7 linked regions of the Oryzias latipes genome follow. The protein of the gene in region 1 interacts with the protein of each later gene in a pairwise test. Links are inferred from orthologs where the notes say so. Each region holds a gene or a part of one and is shown on either strand. Other genes may lie near its edges.

Evidence for each region.
Region 2: the proteins of sgta (region 1) and syndecan-4 interact in binary tests that used the Homo sapiens proteins (3 or more experiments, as listed by UniProt). The two-hybrid records come from large-scale screens. The link is inferred for Oryzias latipes from reciprocal best matches to the Homo sapiens genes SGTA and SDC4.
Region 3: the proteins of sgta (region 1) and cdh15 interact in binary tests that used the Homo sapiens proteins (3 or more experiments, as listed by UniProt). The two-hybrid records come from large-scale screens. The link is inferred for Oryzias latipes from reciprocal best matches to the Homo sapiens genes SGTA and CDH15.
Region 4: the proteins of sgta (region 1) and gal interact in binary tests that used the Homo sapiens proteins (3 or more experiments, as listed by UniProt). The two-hybrid records come from large-scale screens. The link is inferred for Oryzias latipes from reciprocal best matches to the Homo sapiens genes SGTA and GAL.
Region 5: the proteins of sgta (region 1) and c13h3orf52 interact in binary tests that used the Homo sapiens proteins (3 or more experiments, as listed by UniProt). The two-hybrid records come from large-scale screens. The link is inferred for Oryzias latipes from reciprocal best matches to the Homo sapiens genes SGTA and C3orf52.
Region 6: the proteins of sgta (region 1) and peptidyl-prolyl cis-trans isomerase FKBP7 interact in binary tests that used the Homo sapiens proteins (3 or more experiments, as listed by UniProt). The two-hybrid records come from large-scale screens. The link is inferred for Oryzias latipes from reciprocal best matches to the Homo sapiens genes SGTA and FKBP7.
Region 7: the proteins of sgta (region 1) and junctional adhesion molecule A-like interact in binary tests that used the Homo sapiens proteins (3 or more experiments, as listed by UniProt). The two-hybrid records come from large-scale screens. The link is inferred for Oryzias latipes from reciprocal best matches to the Homo sapiens genes SGTA and F11R.

The regions. Positions count from the first base shown.
Region 1 is NC_019862.2:5,204,953-5,208,452, reverse strand, and holds part of sgta (small glutamine-rich tetratricopeptide repeat-containing protein alpha), read right to left. Parts: intron 3,263-3,500; coding exon 3,159-3,262; intron 1,686-3,158; coding exon 1,595-1,685; intron 447-1,594; coding exon 347-446; intron 247-346; coding exon 142-246; intron 1-141. UniProt on the Homo sapiens protein: Co-chaperone that binds misfolded and hydrophobic patches-containing client proteins in the cytosol. Mediates their targeting to the endoplasmic reticulum but also regulates their sorting to the proteasome when targeting fails.
Region 2 is NC_019863.2:6,148,141-6,152,248, reverse strand, and holds the start of syndecan-4, read right to left. Parts: upstream 2,801-4,108; 5' UTR 2,583-2,800; coding exon 2,529-2,582; intron 1-2,528. UniProt on the Homo sapiens protein: Cell surface proteoglycan which regulates exosome biogenesis in concert with SDCBP and PDCD6IP.
Region 3 is NC_019861.2:17,636,270-17,639,769, reverse strand, and holds part of cdh15 (cadherin-15), read right to left. Parts: intron 3,284-3,500; coding exon 3,116-3,283; intron 2,157-3,115; coding exon 2,001-2,156; intron 1,589-2,000; coding exon 1,444-1,588; intron 364-1,443; coding exon 182-363; intron 106-181; coding exon 1-105. UniProt on the Homo sapiens protein: Cadherins are calcium-dependent cell adhesion proteins. They preferentially interact with themselves in a homophilic manner in connecting cells; cadherins may thus contribute to the sorting of heterogeneous cell types.
Region 4 is NC_019864.2:4,848,331-4,852,327, reverse strand, and holds the start of gal (galanin peptides), read left to right. Parts: upstream 1-1,197; 5' UTR 1,198-1,299; intron 1,300-1,380; coding exon 1,381-1,461; intron 1,462-3,997. UniProt on the Homo sapiens protein: Endocrine hormone of the central and peripheral nervous systems that binds and activates the G protein-coupled receptors GALR1, GALR2, and GALR3.
Region 5 is NC_019871.2:7,044,998-7,048,274, reverse strand, and holds part of c13h3orf52 (TPA-induced transmembrane protein), read left to right. Parts: intron 1-342; coding exon 343-470; intron 471-3,277. UniProt on the Homo sapiens protein: Has a role in LIPH-mediated synthesis of 2-acyl lysophosphatidic acid (LPA). LPA is a bioactive lipid mediator involved in different biological processes, and necessary to promote hair formation and growth.
Region 6 is NC_019879.2:16,565,193-16,569,141, reverse strand, and holds the start of peptidyl-prolyl cis-trans isomerase FKBP7, read left to right. Parts: upstream 1-1,149; 5' UTR 1,150-1,295; coding exon 1,296-1,690; intron 1,691-1,944; coding exon 1,945-2,096; intron 2,097-3,442; coding exon of another isoform or gene 3,443-3,533; intron 3,534-3,949. UniProt on the Homo sapiens protein: PPIases accelerate the folding of proteins during protein synthesis.
Region 7 is NC_019872.2:15,489,459-15,492,958, forward strand, and holds part of junctional adhesion molecule A-like, read right to left. Parts: intron 3,266-3,500; coding exon 3,122-3,265; intron 2,983-3,121; coding exon 2,780-2,982; intron 2,695-2,779; coding exon 2,592-2,694; intron 2,449-2,591; coding exon 2,341-2,448; intron 1-2,340. UniProt on the Homo sapiens protein: Seems to play a role in epithelial tight junction formation. Appears early in primordial forms of cell junctions and recruits PARD3.

The sequences.
Region 1 (3,500 bases):
AGATTGATTGACAATCCTAGCACTGTTTAAAAACAAACATGTTAACTTGCTCTGAAAAGAATCGGAGAAACCGCTGGTGAACCGCCATACAGCGAGGGAACACTGTAGTTGACTAAAATATTGATGGGTCTGCAGTCTCACCCCATCCGCCCATAAGCTTTGCTGTAGTTGGGGTCGATGCCGATGGCCTGCTCACAGTCCTGCACGGCGCCGGCATAGTTCCCCAGTTTGCTGAACGCTGCCGCCCTGCAGGGAGAAACAACCTCCTTCAGGTCTGGACGGGGTTCTTCGTGAGCCTAGTGAACTTCTTTCATTCTAGTGTTGGTGGGGATCCGGCCTCACTCACCTGTTGCAGTAGTAGACGGCGTTCTGGGGGTTCAGGGCGATGGCCTTCGAGTAAAACTCCACGGCGGCGGCAAAGTTCTCCACCTTCATTTGGTCATTTCCTGCAGGAGATTGAACGTTATGACGTCTGGAGCAGTCCTGCATTGGGATGAGCTCACCATTCGTGTTAGAAGCAGCAGAAAAGGATGGAAATGAGCAGACGGGATTCTGCTGATCTTCCTGAGACAATCAGGTGGACGGTTTCTGAACTTCGCTTTAATGTCAGAGCAGAAAGACGCGGGTCTCAAACCATGATCGGAAACTTTTACAAGAACAAGCAATTCATGAAACCATTTTCTATATAAAGACATTAAAATGATTGTTCATTCATTTTCTATTCGGTTTTGTCCCTTTCGGGGTCACGGGCTGCTGGAGCCTATCCCGGCCCCTTGCGGGCGAAAGCAGGGGGCACCCTGAACAGGTCAACATTTGTTGCAGGGCCACAATCACACACACATGCACTCTCACATTCACACCCAAGGACAATCTAGAGCAGAGGTGGGCACTGAGGGCCGCATTCCTGCATGTTTTCCAGCATACCCTGCTTTGGCTGGACACACCTGAACCATGTAATCAGCCATGAGTAGGGCAAGACTATCTGGAAATCATGCAGACACACCGGCCCTCGAGGCCTGGAATTGCCCACCCCTGATCTAGAGTAACCAATGAACCTATGAAGCACGTTTCTGGACGTTGGGAGGAAGCCGCAGTCCCCGGAGAAAACCCACGCATCCACAGGGAGAACATGCAAACTCTACACAGAAAGGCCCCTCATGGATGTTCTGTCTCTGGTCCCCCAGCCGGGACTTGAACCAGGGACCTTCTTGCTGTAAGGGAAGGTGCAGCCTGATCAAGATAATATTTACATTAAATATTGATACTTAAAAGTCCTGTTCATCTCACTAAATCTGTCCGTCCATGTGAAACGTTTAGACAGTACTGTGTTTGCTGGTCTGATCATCTGTTAAGTGGTTGAATTCTTTTTTTTTTCTTAGTTTATTCTGTTCTATGGATGCCTGAGTCCAGCTTTTAAATGTATGTTTGTGCATTTTTCAATCTTTTTGTGCTCCTTCTTTGTTGGCTGTAGTTCAGGAACTTGAGCTAAAACACTGAGGTTTCTGAAGGTTGACTGGGCTGCAGCTGATCAGCTGATCAGCTGTTCACATCTATGCAGTCTGAGCCCAAATGACGGGAGGATCTCTAAACTCACCGTCACTTTTCAGCCGCTCGGCCTCCGCCCTCTGCTCCTCCGTCGGGGAGCTGGTCCTGGAATTGTTGTTTACCTGGGACTGAGCCGGAAACTGTCAGAGGAAGCAGACACCACGTCCCGTCAGACAACATGTCACTGTGGAGATTTCAGCAGTCCAAACTTTCTGAAGCACAGCAGTGATTCCGACGCTCAGTCACCAACAAAGATCCTTTGGGCTCAGAACTGGGAGTGTTCAAGAAGGTTACGGAACAAATTATTAATATCCAGGATACACGCAAGAATGAGGACAGAAAGAACATTTTTAGATTAGGGATCAGCAATAAACTGCTACCGGCTGGTATTCACACCAAAAGCTGATCATCTGAAAGTCTCAGCGGAAACAAATAGCAGAGACTATAGAAAACAACTCATTCTTTAATGCAGAAGCTCGGGACAGAAATGTGTGGTTTGCCTTCAAAGACCCACACTGATAAAAAAAATAAAAATGTTTTTGGTGATTTCAAAATGTTCGTGTAGCATGTTTCTGAGGATAATCAAGAAAATTAGGCTTCAAATTGCATTTCCTATTCAAATCCTTGTGAATCAGGAGCAGACAAATAAAAAAAAGCCATTTGAAAAAGAGATGTTTTGTGGTGTAGATAATACTCTGAGCGGGCCACAAGCTCCCTGCGCCGCTCCACTTAGAGACAAATGGATCCACGTCCGTCTTTGTTTTCCTCGTCTAAGCTGGAGTCTGGATCAAAAGCTGGATAGCTCCAATATTGCTCGCCATTTATGTTGCACCGCTACTGTTAAGTTGGGGGAGTGAGGGGCTGTAAGCTAGTGGGAGAGAGTGTAAACAAAGCGCCACTCTCTCTGCAGCAACGGACCAACCCACAGCTTAAGTCCTGCTGCTCTGCAGAAACTATGTCCTAGAAAACGACAGGTTTTTCTGATTTGGGTTAAAACCAAATAGAGATAAATAAAGATAACCAGAGTGGGACTTTTAGAAACTGGGCATCTTATTTGGCTGGGTAGCTCGGTTGGTAAGGTGAACAACTGGCATGCAGGAAACCAGTTCGATTCCTGGGGGGGGGGGAATGAACAATTATGTCAAGCAATGTTAATGGGGCAAATGTTAATTGTGAGCAATTAACATCACCCAGTGAGGGCCCTTGGACCAGCTCAGTGGCCTTGTGGTTAGAGTGTCAGCCCTGTAACTGAACGTTCATGAGTTCAAACCCAGGCTCACCAATGCCTCCCTGCGTGACACTCAGCATTAAGGGGTTGGATTGGGGAGTTAAACCACCATTTGACCCATCCCCTGTGTCTGCTACTCACCGCCCCCACAGGGGATGGGTCAAATGTGGAGAACAAACGTCCCCATTGTGGGATAAATAGTCAACTTTTATTTATTTGGTTTTTTAATTCTGGGATTTAATAGAAATAACTTTCTGGTCACAGAAAAGCAACAGGAGCAATTACACATAGAAAGCACCATATGAAATATGTGCCCTGACTTAAAAACAAGTTCTGGATATGAACCAAAGTCCAGTATGAAGTGTCAGCAATAAAGACCGAGTACCTGTGCCGTGGCGCTGGCGAAGATCTCTGGTAACGTCACGGGCACGGCGAGGCTCTGGTCATCCGTGGAAACGTCAAACGCCGTCTCCAAACACTGAACGGCAACTGCAGAGGGACCCAAAGCCATGAGAAGGCAGCTCACACAGAGACATTGAACTCTGATCAAACCAAAGACACTTTAGTTCAAAACGCCACAGAAAACCTTAGCAGAGTAACCATCACAGCCCAGAGGATGCTGGGTAAAAAGATCAAGCAGAAGAATCACAGCCGAGGCTGGAGGAGGCCGGTCCACAGACCAAAAGCCTTCTCTGCATTACAACTCACTTCACACAATAAAGCTTAA
Region 2 (4,108 bases), on another chromosome or scaffold:
TCTCATTGTCATACAAACTGTACAGTGGATCTGATAAAACTACGAACCTTTTTGAAGTCTTCACTGACAAGTGTGGGGGGGATGGAAATTGCATCACTTGGCCAGAAACAAACAAGGACAGGCATTTGACTACATCACATTTCTATTCAAACCTAAAGCAGCAATAAGACAACATTCAAAGACAAGATTCCCATCAGAAGAACCTCAGACTGGGACAACTGAAGTATAAAGTTGCAGTTATTGTGCTTTTCCACCTCCCCTCCCATCTACAGCCACGCAATAACATGCTTGTTTAAACTTGTGACCATACATGGGCAGAAGGTGCTCTGAGTGGAGGCCAAAGCAGGAACAGTTTTTGCTTGCTTAAAACTTAGATCTATAAATGGAGTCAGTCTGGTCAACGCTTCATGCAAGCCTCGTCTCATTACACACATCTTCTCTTGGTAACAAAAAAAAAAAAAAGACATACCAAACATTCCTTAGATTTTATAATCAAATTCCTATCGTGAGCGTTTCAAAACATTATTAGCATTCAGAGTATTTTCTGTTGTGGAGTAGAGGAACATTGTTACCAATTAGATGGGAAAGGCCACATACCAGTATTGACCTTAGTGTCTGTGGGGAGAAGAAAAAGCCATGGGGGGGGGGGGGGGGGGGGGGGGGTCATAGTACAGAGGCTACGAATCCATCAAATAAAAAATGTAAACAAAAATAATCTCATACATGACAAGAAAGCATAAACAACAACAGTAAGAACACAACCAGGAGGTCATTTTAAAATAGGTAGAATAAATTAATGAGAAAGCGGGTGAAATGGCCCCAAAACCTCAGTGAAGACCACCCAGGGTCAAATTCCCACAAAAAAAAAAAAAGGATGGAAGATGATCAGCAGATACTGCCCTTTAAAAAGTGGAGTCAATGCCAGAGAGCCTTATAAGAAGATAAGAGACGAACTGTTTCAAACCTCAAGTTTCTGAAACCATAAAGGTCCTCATAAATGTGGAGGCGCAGACAGCCAAAGCGTGACCCTGGGCTCACACTGCATCCGGACCAGCACAGGTGAAGCCGCCGGAGTCTTTACGCAACTTGGTTCCAAATCCATTTAGATGGGCTAAAATTCTGGTCGGACGCCGGGGTGATCTGGAGCACTTTTTCGTGAAGTTGGGCCAAATTAAACGACCTACACCAGAATTCATGTGAGCGAATGTAAAGTGTATCCAGTCCATTCAAAACCAAACCTACTTTTCGCTGTACTTGCCATGTTTTCACCGTGGTGTAAAGACAATGTACTTTCTGCTGACAGAGTCACACCGTGTGCGGTAGAGCAACACATCGGTCATTTAACGCCATGGATGGCAAGACGCTCTTACCCCATCCTTAATTATCACCCATGATTAATCTGATTAGGACATCCCTACTACTGACAAATGGATATTTGGTGTTGATGTAAACAAACCAAGTCTCTGGCTGTGATCACTGGCACCATCTATTTGCAAGACATGAGGAAAGCTTGCGATGTGCAATAGCAGTGAGCAACATTGCGATAACAATATGACTTGGCGAAACATGAACAAATAGCAAACCAAAAAAAACTAACAAGTACATCATTTCCATTTTCACTCCACCGGTTGATGTAGACAAAAGTCAACATACCTGGAATTTTACTCAAACGGCCCGTTTGTCACAGAACCCCCAGCAACCCAAACCAATCCAAGCTTTCCTTTACTGTCAAAACAACATGATCTAGTCTACCCAGAAAGACGCTGGGACAACAGGTATGGGGGCGGGGGGGGGGGTCTACTTACTACAGCATTACAGCAAATATTTACAGTGAAAGTCAAAACCAGCAGTGAGCTTCTCAGCTGCTACAGATTTGTTGACATAAAGCATTAAAACAAACAAAAACATCTGTTGGTGACGTTTTTGTTGTTTGTGAGATGAGGCCAAAGGCCGCTGTGAGCTCATGAAGCAGATGAGGAGGAGTCCAGCATGAAAGTAGACTCGAACCCTAGTGTATCCCGGGATATAGAAGGGGGTCCACTCCCCTTAATAAAGCCCAAATAAAGAGGGGGAGGCCCCAGTGAGCGCTGCTGGGCCCAAAAAGAGTGAGCCCGTTTTAAAGCCTGTAGCCGGGGAACCAGCCTGAAGTACTTCCGGAAGGAATCACAGCCTCGCAGACGGAGCCTTTCGGGAATTTCTGGGAAGTTTCTGATAAAACACGCGGGCAAAAGTTCAACGTGTAACGTTAGGACAGCATTTCAGAAACAGTCAAACAGAAAACCGTGCAGGAGCGCGCGGGAGGTGCCTGCCTTAGCAACGATCCCAGAGCCCGGGCCCCCCCCCGTGTGGGACAAAACAAGGCAGCAGGGCTGCGGGGGCCTTCAGGGAGCCCCCGAGAGAGTAGCAGAACCAGCAATGGCTCACGGGAAAAACACGCACTTGTTGTAGCAAATTCCCGTCAAATGAGGTACGAAAACCGGTAAACAGGTTCACTGGGGGAAAACAAACAAACAAAAAAAAATACTTACCGACTCAGAAAGGACTGAGGCCGCCAGCACGAGCACGAGGCACAGACTGAACATGATGACGGAGCCTCCGGTGGTAAAAAAGCTCGGACGGACAGCGGCGCTTCGCCTTAAGTTACCGGGTGACCTCGCGTTTGGGGAGAAGCCCACGTGACTGTCTCTGCCGTCTCTCCCGAACTTCCCAGAAGTCCAGACGAATCAAAATTCCTCAAGATACGGGACCGACCACAGCTCCGCTCTTCCGCCTCCTGAACGTGTTTAACTTTCTCACCGGCGCGTCCGCTCCCATATATTTCAGCGGGGCTTACTCTCCGCCAATCAGGACAGCGTGACGTCAGAGGGAATTTTCCACGTTCAACAGGTTTGTCACGTTAATGGGAGTTTTTTTAGTCATAATTTAAAGTGATATGCAATTCTCAATTCAGTTTGCAAATTGTTCATGCAATTTAATAAAACAATTGGTAATTTCGAATTCAATATAAACAACTACAATTCAGTTTTTAGCTTTGATAATACAGTTTTTCTCAGTCGCTTTAGTACAATTCTCAGATCAGAATTGAAGTTTGCAAATACGTGTGTGCATTTCTCAAAACAATTTGTACAAACAGCAAAACACTATGGATTTCTTGCAAAAGCCTGTAACTTGCTCAAAATCTTTAGTGCATCTCTCAAAACTAAGTCTTTATGTCATTGAACATGTCAGTGCCATCAGAATGTCAAGTCCTTGTGTCATTGTCTACGAACAAGACAGTCAAATTACTTAGTCATGTTGTCAATATAACTGAGTACTTTAGAGTGAGGTTCTGATGGAAACTATGGCTAAAGTTTTGATGACAATTATTATAAAATGTAAGTTACACCTTTTTTGTTTGATTACAAGAGACTGGACAAGATTCACATTTACACTTTTGTTGTTCATATTGTAATTTGTTGACAGACCATGTCATACCAACATAGAAAAAACCCACTGCAAACAGTAACACAAAGGGGGAAAAAAAGATAGGACAATATTCTATCAAACAGTACAGGCAGTGCAGTAAGAATTGGTGTGGTCTTCCTACACCTCTTGTTGTTCCTGTATGTTAGGCCTCAAATTCTCATCCACATCACAGCGAATATCCTCTCTTGCAATGCAGCATGGAAAGAATCTTTTACAGTAGTGTCTTATCCAGCCTCTGCAGGCGTCTGCTGTGATGTCATCACATGCTGCATCCATGGCAGCCAGTAGGGTCATTTGTGTATGTGGCTGGCGATCATAAACTTTCCATCTCCATGGTTAGAAAAATTCCTCAATAGGGTTAAGGAATGGAGAGTAGGGTGAAATGAACTCCATCCGCATCCTGTTGTGGGCTGCAAACCATTGCCTGATGATGTTGGAGTGATGAAAACTCACATTGTCCCAAACTATCACATACGTTGGCAGGTGATGCAAACGTCACCTGAGAGCAATTAACCAATTCAGGACAGATTTAGACAAAAACATATAATGGAGATGTATAGAAATATGTTTGTCACATTATAACAACTTGGTCAACCATTTTGCAGTTAATGACTTATACGATGAACTAATGACTAGGTGTTTT
Region 3 (3,500 bases), on another chromosome or scaffold:
ATGGTTGTTGATGTCCGACACATTAATAAATGCTTCCCCTTCGGTGGTTAATCCCATGCCCCCCATATCAGCGACCTGAAGCTTTAACCTGAAACCCTTTACCACCTAGAATAGAGAGCAGCATACTTCAGCCAGAAGAACCCCATTGAAGGGATCTGCAAAAATCTGTATCCTCACTTACCTCTCTGTCCAGACCTACATCTCTTGTGTAGATGGTGCCAGTCTCATTATTAATCCCAAACATAGTTTTGGTGACAGCATTGGCGGGAATGCTCTCCTGACCAATTATAGAGTAACTCAGTGCAGCATTATCTGTCAATGGGTCGTCAGCATCTGTGGCTGACACTGACATCACCGACGTCCCTGTCACAGAATGTATTTAAAATGTATTTGTAATAAATGTATTTGATTACAAGTAAAGAGTAACTGCTGGAAACAGTTCTCAAGAACTAAGTAACAGTTTCAACATATTTAATTTATAGTCTAAATTATACATACGAACTCTGCCAATAAACAAGGTAAAACTAATGTGCAAATTCTGTCAATTGCAGACAATAAAGCAGAAATTTGACAATGTGAATAAGAATGATTATTCCGTAAAGCATTTTTGGTACCAACAAGGCTTTCCCTTATACATAGAATAAATAAAAGGGTGCAGGATTTTGGAATATTTATCAATTTTAAGATACTTTCAAGCATTTAAACAAACTATTTACTGGATTTTAAACATCATTGTTGAAATGAATAAATAACACAAAGTCTTGTTTTTTTACTTAATATATTTTCAAGCCAACATGAATAATTTACACATTATTGTACTTGATTTTTTTTTCAAACATGAATCAACTCAAGTAAAAGTGGAAGTATGGGGCAAAAAAACTACCCCTAGGGTGCGCAATCTTTTACAAAACTTACTTCAGTAAATTAGACTTGAGTTCTCAAATTAACATGGTATTTGGTTTAAATTTCCCAAGATTCCCCAAACCTTTTTAGATTTGGTGGTCTATGGATATTTAAGTGAAAATCTGTTGGCAAATCCCAAAACCTCCGTCTTTCCTTCAAACAAATGAGTACTATTTTATGTTTTGTATTTTGGAAATTTGGAAACCCAGTCTGAATACCGGGTAACTGTAAATCAAATAGTAGCTAAACTAATTGATTTTTAATAGACCAGAAAGTGTTGTGAAGGGAATTTCCCTGTCGTGGTATCTGTTGTTCTTGTTATTACTGAGGCAGAAAAGGTACAACATTTGTTTCTGATTTATAAAAAGGACAAGTAACACAGTAAACTATCGAAAAAAAATAAAAAGGAGTCTTATAACCACTCATGGTATTGTCATAAAAATAAACAAAAATAAAAATAGGGACGTGTTAATGATGATATACAGTGGGATGTTTTTCAGCTCATGTGAGGATGTTTTTTAGGCCTGTATGGAGCCGTACCTGGAACAGCGAACTCAGAGACGGAGCCAACAAACTGCCTCCGAGTGAAAATGGGTTTGTTGTCATTCTGATCCAGAACCACAATCTCAATGGTTGTGGGGTTCTCCAGCCTCTCCCCGCTGGGAGACAGTGCAAAGGCTTTAAGCTACACACAAATATACATAAGAAAAAGAAAAAAAATCATTAGATGATTTTGCAGATCAAAGTCGCCAACGTCAAAAAGTTTGTCCTCTTAGTGGGTTGTTAATTTAGTTAAACAAAGGTGAACTAAACAGTTTACTCAATTTGATTCAAGGTGAATGTGGTTGACGACCACAACACATGCTGGCAGAAAGAAAAGTGCTGGTCATTCATCCGTGACACATTTGGAAGAACTATCCCCCAAGATGCCTATAAAATCCTTGAGAAATTGCCCCTTGGCTGTTTGTACTGTGTCTGACACGGTGATATACGATGCAGAACAGAAACATTTGCTTTAAAACATGTGAGAGGTCTTACTGTGCACTGCAGCTTGTTGTAATAAACCCCTCCCTGATTGCTCTTTAATGATGTCTTACCGTGAAACTGCTGTGCTTCTCTCTGTCCAGTGGCTGCTTGCTCCTGATTACTCCTATTTTGTCATCAATCTCAAACAGGTTTTTGGGCTCCTGGTCGACTCCCGGACCCTCCAACTTGTAGATCACCTCACCCAAGAAGATTTTGTCTGATTTGATCTGGGTAGGAGGAAAAAAAAGATGGTGACTGCTCTTGGGAAGGTATGGAGGAATATTGCAATGCCTTTTCTTCAATGCCAGATGTGGAACATAAACCTGGAGATGAGAGTGTTTGAACTCAGAGAGGCCTCTGCGATGCAAAACTAAGAATAACAAAGAGTCATTTTATGCATTTTTTTTGCTTTGTCTTTGCTATGTTGATGGATCAGCAGATGTAAAAAGTGCAACTCCAGAAAGTTGCAACCAACACTCAAATCTTAAATAAAACTATCAAATTGTGTTAGCAGCCAGTGTTATTTTTTGGGAACAATTGATATTTTTTGAAAACTATGTGGTCTAAACTTTTAAGCAATGCTTCGTTTTTTTTAGAACATTTATTCTTAGGTTTTTCAAAATAAAAGCAGTGAGTGTTTTTACATCTATTCACCCATTTTCCAAACCCACTTTAACCCTTTTAGGGGCATGGGGTTGCTGGACCCTATCCAAGCTACTGTTAGGCAAGGTGGGGGATATCCAGGAAGAGTTTTCAGTTTGTTGTAGGGCTTACAACACACACATTTACGGTCACAGCTAGGGACACTTTAATTTAAAATCTTTAATTAACATTTGAAGCATATTTTTGGACTTTTGGGGAAAACTCACACAAGCACGAGGAGAACTTTTTTGTGTGCAAACTCCACACAGAAAGGACCCAACAGGGATTTGAACCAGGATCTTCTTGCTTTGAAGCAAGAGTGCTAACCACTACACCACTGTGCAGCACCCAATAAAATACAATCCAACAATATTGAGTTAACACAACCACAAGACAATTCACATTCATTTTAATTATGTTTACATCAAGCAAACTATAAAAATTCCGTCAAGCTAATACGTGAGGGAAAATAGCACAACATTTTCTTCTTTAACTGAGATATATGTAGATAGCTTTTGCAATAACTCAATGTTTTTTTTTTTACCTGAACAAGATCTTCAGGGACTTGCTTGCTGTTCTCCAACACTCTGATTGGAGGGATGATCCAGTCCCTCTTCATTCTGGCCAGACCCCTGCCTTGATTTCTCCAGGGAAATAGAGCCCAAGGACGCAGCTCTGCCTCACCATAGTGATGTTCTGCAGAGCTCCACACCTGAAGGAAACACATTCACACTCATTCAGATCACATGCATTTTTGTAAACCTCAGGAAGTCTTCTTCGTGGAAGGTAACACAGCCTTGCATGCATTTGCAGCTGCTTGATGTCCCCCATGGCTTGGACATTCCCGGAGTCCTGGTGGAGTTGCTGTGTTCTAATTGTGGTGCAGAGAATAGCTGGTTGATGTGGAACTGTCCAGAGTAGAGGTAGCA
Region 4 (3,997 bases), on another chromosome or scaffold:
TGCAATCTAGCCTCATGTCCTTGAAGATCGACCGATCAAAGAGCAGCCAAAGAGCCAATCATAACAGATACCCAGCCCTAAGTCGCTCCAGCTCCCCCCCAAAAAAACACCTTACACACCACTAAAGCTCTAAATGGCCCTACAGTGGGAGCAATAAGGAGGAGCCGGCGGGGTTGGGGAAGAATCCGGCCTTTTTTCGTGACAAATCAGAGCAAAAAACAAAAGTTCTGCATTTATATTTTGTTCAGTGTATACAGTATCCACCAACAGAGAAGTGGAGAGGACGTGATGGTTACACATAAACGGACGGAGCTCCTCACCGGGTTAACAGAAAACGATAACAACTTTCATAAAGGAAAACAGGACAAAACCAGGAAGTAAAGTCCTCATTGTCCTGTTCTAGTGATGATTTGAATGTTGTGAGCTGAGTCTCTGCTAACTTCACTCATGTCTGCTACTCAGTGATGGAGACTCCGTTAACAAAACCTCATCAGGACAAAGACTGAGACAGATGGGGGGATGGGGGGGGGGGGCAAAACAATAAGCAAGGTGGTTAAATTCATGCAGGACATAAGATTCAGACAGGGACGAGGATCATAGACAAAAAAAGAAGTAGCGCCTTAAATTATTAAAATATGTTACAGTCTTTATGAAATTCAAAGTGAAAGATGCTAATCTATGATACCAGCAGGAAAAGAAACAGCATTTCTGCAGAAAAACATCAACTGTGAAGGACGAGGCTACAGGGACCAGAATGAGATCACCTGATCACCGTGCAGCACAGGGAACTGCTGAAGTACCTGACTGAGTAGGTGAGCCCAACCCCGAATTCAAACTACAAAAAACCAAAACCTAAACTTTCCTGAACGAACGAACAGCTGGAGAGGAGCTGCGGGTTTTGTGAAGGAGACCCCTCTCCAAACCTCTGCGAACCTTTAACTGGGTCATGACAGATGCAGAATCAGCCTGTCTGAACCCACAGAAGCTCCAGCCAACCGGACCACAGAGACCAGTGAGTCTGAGTGATGGTCCGGATCCTCTCCTGACCTTCATTGATGAATGAGCGCGGAACTGCGGACGAGGAGCGTTTGTCAAATTGAATTCGGGAGGTGGTGGGGGTGATGCGGTGACACCCGTGTTCGTGACCTGCCCGTCATGTCCGCAGGAGGGGGTTGGGGGCTGCTGACGCCAGCAGGTAGCGGCGGGGTCGCCCATAAAAGCCGGCCGGTGCGCGCGGAGCGTCCAAACCAGTTACCAGAGCGCACAGATTCTGCTGCAGCCATCTCTCCCGCTGAAAAGGTAAGGCGCTGCAGGCTGGCCGCTCCGCTCACTCACCCGCAGCCTGGCTCCAGCTCATCCGCTTCTTCTTGCGCTCCCCAGATGCACAAGTGCTTGGGGATCCTCTGCGCGTCGCTCATCTTCTGCGCGGCGCTGTCGGAGAGCATCGGGCTGGTTATCGCGGTAAGCAGCGCGCGCGCGTCACTCAGGGTCCCGGACGGAACCGGCAGGGTGTGGAAATGAAAGAAAGGGGCCAAAGACTGAGCAGAACAAGAGAAGATCAGGGAACATGCCAGCCTCTTAATAGTTTAGATGTGGTCAGTTAAAAAATGGAGAAAATTCATACAAAAAATATGTGAAAAAAAAAACAACAACTAAGGAACGTTAAAGAAAAGGAAGTGACTTCCTTCACCTCATTTCTAAGATACGTGAGGTGAGGCCGGGGCAGAACTGGAGTCTTTTGATGCTGAACGTGACTTTGTGGGTAAATGTTGGCTGTGCCACCTGGTGGCCTTTCCTGCTTTAATGACCTCTTCCAAAACGCGCATCCAACAACGCTTAACCTGAAAATCCGAGCGCATGCGCATGTTGGCCGCACAACAGGAATTTTCTTCACTTTTTGTGCTTGGTCGCACTTAAATACGTGAAAAAGATCCCCTGAAAGAACAGCTAGAGAGCAAAGGAGAACATTGCTCCAAACACACAGAAAGTTTGTTTTCCTTCTTCAGAACTAGAGATGGATTTATGGAATTTACTGTACTTTTTTTGTTTGGAACATTTCTTCCATAACTTCCTATTTTATTTGATGATTGTGTCCAATGACTGAATGGTTTCAATGAACATTACAAGATTGATTGATTGATTTCAAGCATTGTAGTCAAAGCAATAAAGATTTTACACAGATTTATGAAACTCATTACAGAAATGATGAAATGCATAGATAAAAAAAGAAAATAAAACAGAAAAAAAGACACATAAGTCACATTTGCTTAATTAAATACAGTGATCATTAACTAAAGTATAAGTAGAGCTTGATTTACTGCTTGAAAAGGAGCGGAGGAAGTGATCTTATGTAATCCCACCCCTACTGAGTTAATTCATTTTATAGTTTTAGTAATCTGGTTCTGATCCGATAGATTCTTTTGAAGTTACTAAATCCAGTTCTAATTAATGATTGATTATCTACAGAAAACGTTCATTCATGATTTCAGAAAACAGTAACGATAATCGTTATGTAATAATAATTGATTATCATTAGAACACATTAAACCAGTAATTATTGCTACACATGCAGATCAATAAAGAAAATCAATAGTTATTGATTGTAATTCAGACATCTCAGTAATCATTATTGCACATTAATACTCATTGGTTGTAATTAAAAGAACTTTGATTTTTTCACCACAATCAGGTTGACAAAAGTATTTGGAATTATTTAAACACCTGTTGATCCTTTACTCCTCTTATCTTTATATCATGAAGTTAACACATAAAAATGCATAAAACAATTCCTTTTTTTAGAATACCGAACTAAATTACATCAATTTAAGTTAGCCTCAATGAAATACATCATTCAATATATACCTATGTTTTAAAGGTTTTAAAGGCTGGCGCCAGTGTTAGTCATCGGAGCTGCCATCAGTGAGTGAATGGGACTGCCATATAAGTATACGCCATTTACCATTTAAAATGTATTTTCCAAATGATTTAAAGGTTTTTTTCTAGCTAACTTTTCTGAAGATGTTTTAAAGCACCAGTTACACATCCTGATGGTTATGTTACTTTATAAGGTCCATCTGTGAACACATGAAGGTCTGTCACTGACAATCAGACCTGCAGCTAAGTAAAGGTGGGTGAGACCACAAAGAGTTAAAAAGAAGCCGCAAAAACTTAAATCAACTCAAATACTATACATTTGTAGTTTGACACAAAGTGAAATTAAATATAGCATAAAAATGAAAAATGATAAAAATAAAGATGATTTCACTGAGAGTTGATTTTACAACGGCTTCAAGAGGGACTTTCCCCCAATAGAACTGGGTGGGAATGCTAATAAATGTCCCCCCCCTTCACCTACAGAGACCTTCAGGAGTTCTTTTGGGTCACGACCAGAGTGCAGGTGAATTTCACACCTCATGAACCAGGAGGACCATCAGAGGAAACTGGCTCTGGTTGAAGTAAAGCCGTCAGTGTGAATGCTCCAGGGGGGTTTGGCTTTAGCTAATCTGCTGAAAGGAAAAACAAGCTCAAATGGAAAGAATCAGGAAAATGTCGGGAGGAAGCAACGGTGATGGCTTCTCTCCCTGCTCTGACTGAACTCACTCCTGTGAGGCTGACTTTCAGCGTTTGGATGCTGATGATTGAAGAAGAACAGCTGCTTCTTACTGATGAACTTACTTTCATTATGAAACTGAAGCAAGTTGCAGAAGACGTGCGACAGCCTCGTTTGCTAAAAGAAGCCATGTGTTTGTTTATGCTGACCATCATCCAGACCCACCCGCCACACTCGGACACCAGCTTCAGATCAAACAAAGCTCACAATCACCCTCTGTTTCAGGATGAAGACATTTCTCTTCTAAACCACAACTGCTCTGCTGCAGAACTGAGAGTGATGCTGCTGGGAGAAAAGCCGTCCTTTTGATTAGCTTCAGATTCTGCAAATAATCCAGATTACTTGAATAATTGGTTAATTAAATCATGGACCATTTAACCACCAGAG
Region 5 (3,277 bases), on another chromosome or scaffold:
TTTACCATTTAGCTCAGCAGGTAGTTAGTGGGTTAACATAATCAGTTTAGTAGGGAAGATGCCAGTCATTTAATAGTTAAATACTTCTTCTACTTGAGTCTGAAAAGAAAAGAAAACTAGTTGAGCTGCACGGTATTTATTTTAACTGTTGAAAATAAGGTGTGTCCACTATAAACCATGATATTCCAGGACTTTTTGTTTGGCAGTACCACCCTGGAATAAAAATAACCAATGTTCTGGATGTGTATGTGCTTTTACTTTGTTACAGTGCTGATTTATCAAATTGCTTTTTGTAGTAAGACATTTAAAGCTTTAACCCAACTTTTTTTTTTCTCCCAACAGCGACATACGTGGACAAAGATGACATATATGACAGCTCTTTGTTTACAGTTCCTCAGTATTTTAATGGAAGTTTCCAGATTTCCAATTTCTCCTTTAAAGAGGGTGCAGCTGAAGACCTTCAACTAAAGGTTTGAGACGTTCATTGTTCTTCCTATCCTAATTCGGTTTCTATTCATTGTGTTTGTGTCCTTGAAAAGATTTATTTTTGTTTGCATAAAAGGTCCTATTTAAATAGTTTTGGTTGATTGTTTCTGATTAGGTTTTAAACAATCAGAAAATCCTAATCCTTTCATCACACTCAACATTTTAGCTCACATACAACAACATATGAGTAAAACAATGAAATTTACGAGAAAATGTGTATTTCTCAGGAGAAACGCATTCTTTAATCTTGCGTAAGCCCTTTATGCCGTGTGTGGCTTATTTGCATTCTACCATTTAATCTAGGACTCCTAATTTAGCGTCACCTTGAACAATAAAAGCATTGAAGAGTATTGTTTTATGTAACTGAAAATACAATTTCTTTAATATCGATATTTTATTTCCATGAGAATCAGAGATGGTCGATTTGATTTTATCACAAAAACTAAAGCCTTAGTCACAACTGCCCTTACCAGTGGATACAGACTCCCTAGAAGGAAAAAAATGGGGCAAATCTGTATCTGGTTGTCTAATTTCCTCATTTCTAACACAAGTGCACACTAATCACTTGAACAGCACTAACGGGCTCCTTGTGCAGTGCACAGGATTCATGGGGTTGGAAAAAAGGCTGGCATCTCACCTAATTTACTCTTATGTTGTAGAAGTGTTCGCTCTGACTTGTTGCCCACAGCGGGCCTGTAGAAAAGTTGTGCCTGAACGGTTTTACCCTATGGTTTCACGGTCTGCAACTTTGATATTTCCTGCGGGCAACCTACTGTGTATGGAAGCGATTATGTAGCATAAATAAAAAGCAAAGTCAAAACCAGAAATGCTTTTTCATTTTCAAAATGAAGCTGCATTTTTTGACTCAAAAATATAATGAAAAAGCAATCCACCAAAATGCTTTTTCATTTCCTTCCTCAACACAGCTTATTCTGTCACTTAATTAAAATTAAAATGAAAATGGTATTTGACATTTCATTTTCAAAAAGGTCCCTGGTAAATGTGTACCAAAATTCATTTAGAAATGTCTCATTTGACAATTAAAATGGATTAACAGAAATGCTTTTTAATTTTCAAAATGTAACTGCATTTTTTGACTCAAAATTAAAAAGAAAAAGCAATATTTCAAAATGCTTTTTCATTTTATACTTAAAACCGCTTATTCTGTGTCATAATTCAAACGAAAATGCAAAGAGGGGATTGCATTTGCATTTTAACATCCACCCCGCGCAAGTTGTCACAATATTCAATTCGAAAAAGCATTAGCAGAGGGGAGGCGGGGCGATGACGTCACTGCTTTCTCCGTGTGTCCGGCTGCTGACTGACGCACACGCACCAGGAGCAGACTGTTAGCGGCAGAGACAAGGGTTTTGTGATGGTTGTGAACTTCTGATGAGTTTCCACAGCTTCTCAGGACTAAGTAACTGCATGTCCGCCTTCTGCGGTCCTCCTCCTGACGCACCGCGGACAAGCTTTTGTTCTTCGGACCGCCAGCTGCCTTCGCACAGCGGAGCGCGAAGCTCCGATGATCGCTGAAGGCGGAAATGCTGCTACGATCTGAGAAACCATCATATGAATTTGTGTTTCCAGTGGTGTCCAGAACAAAATAAAGACTGATGTAATTCACAGATATTTACACCTTGATCTGCAGCTTCGCGGTGAATTTACTGTTTGATGACACCTGGAGCTCCATCATCAGACAGCAGATTTCTCGATGCTAAACGTTGCTGGTTGGACCAAAAACACTCACTCAGCGCGAAGCTGCAGGAGACTATCTTCATAATGTGCTTTTATAACAGTTATGCTAATATTTTACGGCCTGCTCTGCTCGATTATGTTTTTAAATCCGTGCGGTCAGACGACGCTAAAGTTGGCTTACGATTCACAGCTTCTGATTCACGAGGGAGCTAAAGGAACATTCTGCTGCATTTTTCATATTAAGATTACGTAAAACCGGGTCCTGTTCACAAACCGCTGGACCTGGCCTGCTCAAACCTGGATTCCTGGATCTTAATAAAACAAACAGCAAATTCACCGCGAAGCTGCAGATCAAGGTGTAAATATCTGTGAATTACATCAGTCTTTATTTTGTTCTGGACACCACTGGAAACACAAATTCATATGATGGTTTCTCAGATCGTAGCAGCATTTCCGCCTTCAGCGATCATCGGAGCTTCGCGCTCCGCTGTGCGAAGGCAGCTGGCGGTCCGAAGAACAAAAGCTTGTCCGCGGTGCGTCAGGAGGAGGACCGCAGAAGGCGGACATGCAGTTACTTAGTCCTGAGAAGCTGTGTAAAGTCATCAGAAGTTCACAACCATCACAAAACCCTTGTCTCTGCCGCTAACAGTCTGCTCCTGGTGCGTGTGCGTCAGTCAGCAGCCGGACACACGGAGAAAGCAGTGACGTCATCGCCCCGCCTCCCCTCTGCTAATGCTTTTTCGAATTGAATATTGTGACAACTTGCGCGGGGTGGATGTTAAAATGCAAATGCAATCCCCTCTTTGCATTTTCGTTTGAATTATGACACAGAATGAGCGGTTTTAAGTATAAAATGAAAAAGCATTTTGAAATATTGCTTTTTCTTTTTAATTTTGAGTCAAAAAATGCAGTTACATTTTGAAAATTAAAAAGCATTTCTGTTAATCCATTTTAATTGTCAAATGAGACATTTCTAAATGAATTTTGGTACACATTTACCAGGGACCTTTTTGAAAATGAAATGTCAAATACCATTTTCTTTATCATTTTAATTAAGTGACAGAATAAGCTGTATTGAGGAAGGAAATGAAAA
Region 6 (3,949 bases), on another chromosome or scaffold:
ATATGATGTGGGATTTCAAAATAAAACCCAATTGAAATCTGGCATTAGGGCGTTATTGCTATATGCTTATCAGACTGAATAAACATTGAATCACCAGGTTTGATACAATAAATGAGATGTGAAATTACTTTGTGGAAACTAGGAGTTTTTCTTTTACACAAATGTCAACATTTGTGCAAGCGTGGGTTCTCTCCGGGATCTTTGGCTTCCTCCCACTGTCCAAAAACATGCTCCATAGGTCAATTGGCGACTCTAAATTGTCCCCAGGTGTGAGTGTGAATGGGTGTGTGATTGTGGCCCTGCGACAGACTGGTAAACTGTCCAGGCTGTACCCTGCCTTTATATATATATATATTTTTTTTTATATATATTGTCAGAGTATATATATATGTATATAAAATATATGGGGGGGGGGGTCGTGTGTGTAAATAGTATGTACAAATATGTAAAAAAAAAAAGGGGGCACACTGTTTTTGAGAGAGAGGTCACTTGACAGCCGTTCGATGAGAGAGGGCTGGCTTGACACCAGTAGTTGTTCGCACGTGCATTGTAATATATAAACCCAAGGAGAACAAGAGGTCACAGCTCTGCCAAAGGTGTTTGACAGGCATCTCATCCCAGACGGCAGAGGTGATAATTGGTAACACTGAGTCTTGTGTCTCTTAACTCAATTTACCATAAATCCAGTTCCTTTATCTTATAATGTAGAACTACAATACAAAATATTCCAATTTAGACCTTACAGCTAAACTCGTTTCTTTTCTGCAAAAAAAGAAAAGGTATAAAATTTATTGAAATAAAAGACGATGAATTAAAGTTTGAGAAAAAATAAAATAAAATAAAGCATATTGATCACACTGTATACTAAAATTGTGGCACAGGCCACACTTTTTCCATATAGCCAGATCGTTTGTTCTGTCCTATGTTAGATAATATTACTTTGTTTTTGTCCCCTCTAAAAAATATAATATAATATAATATAATATAATATAATATAATATAATATAATATAATATAATATAATATAATATAATATAATATAATATAATATAATATAATATAATATAATATAATATAATAATAAATCTTCCTTGTGGAGTCAAATGGTTGGAAAAAGTAGACTAAAACGTGCCAGGCAGGCACGCATGCATCTGATGAAGCTTTCGTTTCGAACATGAGAATAACCCCGAGTTGGAACTAAACCCCAAGTCAGGTCTCTCAGGCAAAAAGGAAATAAAATGTGACGTTCTCTGCCATTCTAATGAAAATAGGAAGGGAGGGGAGGAAACAATTTAATGTACACAACTTTTACTTTAAAAATAACGGTAAAACAAAGATTGTGGAGATGCGTAGCCGAGATCTTAAAACCTGGTAGTCAAAACACGGGGGTAAATATTCAGGGCGACGTCCCTGCAGCCAAAAAAAAAAGAAGAAAAACGTCACTTTCTAGAGTTGCCACGACTACACACAGCTTCATGATGTGGACGCTTGTTAGCTGCATATTGTATGTTTTCGCTTTGTCGAAGCTCGATTTGTGGGCCGTTTTGGCCACAGCAGATGAGCTTCTCAAGGAGGTCAAGACCGAAGTTGTGTCTAAACCCGAGCAGTGCACCCAGAAAAGCAAGAAAGGAGATCTGATCAACGCTCATTACGACGGGTACCTGTTGGATGGCTCCCAGTTTTACTGCAGGTACTATAAAAAAAAAATCACACCTTTCGTGTTTGTTTGCTTCCTTTCAGCTGATATAAAAACACAACAATAATAATGCATTTGTAAATAACGTGTTATGAGTGAGTTAATGATTTAATGGGCATGAAAGGTTTGGTTATTGCATCTGGCATAAGTGTCACTATATTTCTAACATTTTTTAATATCAGGAGTCCTCATATTTTTTTTAATTTGTTCTGCCACTTGTTACATTTAAAAATAAAAATCTCTTTTAGTCGGACTGACAAAGCTGGCCATCCCCAGTGGTTTGTGCTTGGTGTGGGTCAAGTCATCAAGGGCCTGGACATAGGAATGATGGACATGTGTGCCGGAGAGAAGAGAAAAATAACTGTCCCATCAGACCTGGCTTTTGGTAAAAATGGGAAAGGTAAAGCCATATATCAATTTATAGATTGCATTTTTCTTCCAAAATTCATTAAAGACCCCCTCCGAGAAAAATAAGAAAATTAAACATATAATTGCATTTCTGAGTATCTTATATTCAAATCATTGTGAATAAGGAGCAGGCAAAAAATGCATGTTTTGGAAAGGTTTGTAGTTGTTTCGTACGGACTACAATCTGCAGGGCACAAGCTCCCTGCTCCACTCTATTCCGCCATATCCACTTGCAGACAAATAGATCCGTTTATGTCGGTTTTCCTCCTCTAAACTGGCTTCTGGCTCAAAACTGTACAGCTGGATAGATGCAATATTGCTCACCATTTTTGTTGCCCCAGTAGTGTTACTTTGGGAGTGTAAGAGTTTGTAAGCTAGTGGGAGAGGGTGTAAACAAAGGCAAAGGATACTCTGCACTAACTGTCCAACTCAGAAAAATTTCGAATGAACTCCTGCCGCTTTGCAGAAATTATGTTCTAGAAAACGACACAGGTTTTTTTGATTTTAGCTAAAAACAGCATAATTAGGGGTGTAATGGATCACAAAACTGATGGTTTGAGAGTCCCGGTTCAGATCATTTCTAGGATCAGTAAAAAGAAAAAAGAAAAAAAGGAAAAAGATATAAGCCTAAAATTGTTTTTTAAAAGCTTCAAAGCATACATTTGAGAAAACATACATAAAGTACTTTAACAAAAACATATATATAAACATTAATGAGATATTTTAACTCAAGATATTCCTGTATATAAACATATACTCAAGATGCCTATATGAACAAAGTGCATTGTTGTGTATTGCAATTTGGGAAAAAAAAAGTATATTTAAAGAAAAAAAGTAAGAAGAGCAGGGGATATCAGCATTTACAAGTTTGAAATTCCTATACTGGGATCCCAGCTGCTATTAAGCCCCTCCCACTTGGAACCAACAGAGCAGTGGCTTTTTCCTGCCACTGTTCCAGGACGGTTCAGACGCTGCTGATCTGATGTGATCTCATGAACCCAGACATGGGCTGCTCATCGACGCTTTGTAGAACTCTACAAAATAAATAAAACAGATCTCTGAACGATGGCGTAATGAGGTCAAGAAAAACTTTTGACCTAGCTCCTCCCACACGCGGTTAGGGTTATAAACACACTTTTGGACACGCCTCATGCTGCAACTTTGAGGCATGTAACAAAGATGTGTACATGTATTTGACATGCGAATCACAATTAAAAGGTTTGAAAATGGATCAAAAAAGGACCAGAGGTGGACTTTAAGTTGTAGGTTTTATTCTTGTACTTTCCTAAAGCCTTTGAATGACAACTGCTTTCACGGCCTTGTTGTTCTCTTTTACAGCACTTTAACTTGAAAGGGCATTGTTTTCCTTGCAGTGTTTGCTCCTCATCTTCCAATGGCATGACCTGGAAGCATGCGCAGAGGTTGAAAGGTCTCTTATCACATCTCTTCCTTGCATGCATTGAAATTACTAACAAGGTTTTCCTCAAACCTTCTGAAGAAACATTTTTTCTGGTGTCTATGTTGCTGCCTGAACTCATTTTTTCACAATTTGTCTGTGGAAATGAGTGCAATTTTAATATGTGTATGCACTACATGCTTTAATGTTATTCATAAAATGCTAGAGGAAAACAGAGATCCAGAATCAAACATATTGTTTAACAGCTGAAAGCTCCTTTCGAACTTTTCTTTCTTGTGGATGACGATATTTTTTAAAGAAATTACATATCTAAAGGCAGTTTATACAGCTTTACAAGCCTTGTCTTGTAAAGTGGAACAGGATTTTATAATTCAAAGAATTTGTTGTTTTTGAAGTTGTGTAATTTCTTCTGTCCTCCATCTTTGGGA
Region 7 (3,500 bases), on another chromosome or scaffold:
ATAATTAAAGATCAACTACAGTCATATTTTGATCCATCTAAGATGTGACATGCTTAATGTGACATGAAGACTGTGGTACAATGGGCAACTAAGGTGACAGCTTAAAGACCGATCTGTTTATCATTTAATATATTTGAAAGCGTTCCCAGTGGGGTTTTAATTATAGTTATGCAAATTCTTAGCGAATTTTTTATTTATTTTATTATTTATTATTATTATTATTTATTTTATTATTTGTTATTATTTTATTATTTAGCAGCAGGAGTTCATCAGAAATTGGCCTCCAAGTTGTAGGCAGGACTGCTGGCCCAGAGTGAGTCCACCCCTTCCCATCATCCCTCTGTTTACACTCTCTCCTTCTAACCTACAGCCCCTTACACCCCCAACCTGATATTAGTGGAGCAATAAAAATGCCGAGCAATATTGGAGCTATTCAGCCCTACAGTTTTGAGCCAGAAGCCAGCTCAGACGAAGAAAACAAAGATGTACATGGATCTTTTTGTTTGCAAGTGGATGCCTCAGAATGGAGCGGAGCAGGGAGTTTGTGGTAGTAAAGGTAAAAAGGTAAAGGTAAACTTTATTGTCCTCAGAGAGGAAATTTGTTCTGGGCCACAGAGCTACAAACTGTATACCATCCTTCATCATTCATCAAACACTCATCACATACATGGTAAAAGAGCGTAAAGTTGTTAAATAATAAATAAATAAAAACAGAGTGTACAGATTTTCCCCCCATGCTTGACTTTCACAGTCGAGAACACGAATAGTAAAATAGTAAAAAATTGTAAAATATCTAATTCAAACCTTTAAAACCACCTTGTTAAAAGTTATTTTTTGTGAAATGCATCATCAATTCACAAAACAAAAACTCTCCATTCAAATTCAACAGCTATTAAAACTAGGGACTGGTGGTCCCTAGTTGCATCTATGTCACAACTACAAGCTTTTTCAAATGACATTTTTGTGTCTGCTCTAGGGTTGTGCCGATGGACGATATCATCGTCCATCGTGATGGGTGACTGACATCCCGATGGAGAGACACCATCGTGATGCCACGCCCCCGCCACGTTGCGCGTCGACACCATAAGCCGCGGTTACATGTACAAAATATCTTGATGGGATCAATGGTCGGATTAGAATCCAACCGTGTACATGGTTCCAGAAAAATGTTTTTAGAATATAAAAACGTTCACTAAGGTCACACTTTCCGTCGGAATAAATCATTCGCACATGCGCAGTAGGGTTTGAAAAACGGAAGGATATAAACTCCGCCGAGCGGCTTTTTTTTTTTCTCCAAACTTTATTGTATGTAACAATTCAATACAAAACAATGTTAAATAGCGCCGAGCGGCTATATACATTGACATGTCAGCTCGGTAAAATACGAGATGATCTTCTAAACGTGCTTTTAATAATGTTACGGTTATTATGAAACACCTGTTCGCTCATCATTTGAATTTTAATCCGTGTGGTCAGTGCTTTTTCTGAACGAAGCCAGGATTAGCAGTATGCTAACACGGGCTAACAACATTAGCTTTGGATGGTGCTGCTTGCTGGCTGCACGTAAACATGTAAGAATAACATCAGCCTTTATTTAGTCGGGACACGACTGGAAACACAAATCCACGTGATTGTTTGAATGTTTTCTAAGGACTGAGCGACATTTCTGCTTTGAAGCTCAAACCGCTGTGTGTGCTGACGATCCGAGCTGTGCACAGACACACACTTTTAGACCCGGTTCTGAGTTCGGTTGCTTGTACCCCTAGAGCTGCGGGACGGATCGCAGTCTTAAATCTCCCACACATACCGCTCATGTCCCCCCCCCCCCCCCCCCTTCCCATCAAACACAAAGCTGTAAGTCCGCACTCCCCCGGTAGTGCGGGAGCGGACTACTTCTCTTCTATTTTGTTTGTTACTTTTTTTGTTAAAGTCACTTCCCTCAGTTTATACTGGATCATCGCGGATTGGGAAATAAAATGAAAAAAGCAAAAAAAAGAATAGCAGTTACATAAGAACGAAAAATGTAAAAATACCCCCCCCCCCCCCCCCCCCCCCCCGACCATGTCATCGTCCATCCCGATGGTTGACAGCAAACATCGTCAACGGCCAATTTAAGGGACATCGCCCAACCCTAGTCTGCTCCCGTTTCACAATGATCTGAATGAAAAAATACTCCAAATTTTTCTTTGTGTATGTCCTCCATCATGAGTAGAAGGCCACAAGAACAAACACCAAAATTCCAATTTTCATCGGAGTGGGTCTTTAAAAGTATCAACTTAATATGTAAACTACGAAAACTGACATGTTAAAATGTATTCAGAGAAAATGCATGGAACTTACTATCCAGATATCCTTTCTTTTTGGCAAACCAAACAGCAACTATCAGCAACACCAAAAGCAGCAGGGCCACTAGCACTCCTGCAACAATACCTCCAGTGTTCAAGTCACCTTGAAAAAAGAAAAATGACACATTTTTATTCAAAGAAATCACAGAAGCACTGTTAAGTATGTTGTTATTCTTGCAGTCTTCATTGCTTCTCTATACATAACCAAAGAAAAGAAAAAACAGATTTTCTTCTTTGTGTACTTACGAACTTCCATTTTCACAGCCCGACAACTTTGTGCAGGACCAGCGCTGTTGGTAGCCTCACAGTAATATTCACCGGCATCTGTCAGGGAAGCTCGGAGAAATTCCTGAAGAACAAGGATGACATTTAACATACTCATAATAAAAAGGTGCTGTAAAATGAATGATGAAACTCAATTAGCTGTAGCTAACCAGTGTGCCCTTTGCTTGATCAAGCCTATAGGTGGCGTTCCTAAAGTTAGAATTCTTGGTGGGGTCAGCAGGAAGAAGGGTTTTGTCTTTGTACCACTGATACGTAGGAGCTGGGGACCCAACCGGATCGTGACAGAACAATATGGCCGCCTTACCGGTCGTCACAGATGTTGGGATTTTACACATGGGCACAGAAGGGGGCACTGCAAGACATGATGTCAATTTCATTTGCACCACATGAAAACATCAGCTTTCGCACCAGAAGTAGGGTTTTGGCTTTATGGTTGTGCTTCCACACATCTGTCCACAAATGTTTCCAAATGTGTTGAAGCCACTTCTTACCCAGAACAGTCAGCGAAACAGAGATTTCCCCAAACTGTTGGTTGCCGGACACCTCACATTTATATGTGCCATTATCGGTACGGGTCACTTTGGAAAGTCTCATATTAGCCTGACCATAAATAGACACACGACTGGCATAGGGCTCTGAAACAAAAAAAACAAAAACAAAAAGACACATTATAGAGGTCTTAAAACTGCAGTCTTTGTTTGCCCTCTAAGAACTTGTTTGAAATTACTGTACATTTAAATAGTATTTAACACCAAATTTATGAAGGTAAAAATGTGTCAAAAAGAACGCACTTGTAGATTTGATTTGAGAACTTGTAATATAGAATCTGAATACTTGTGCATGAAAAATCTGCATCTGTGTGTAAAAATC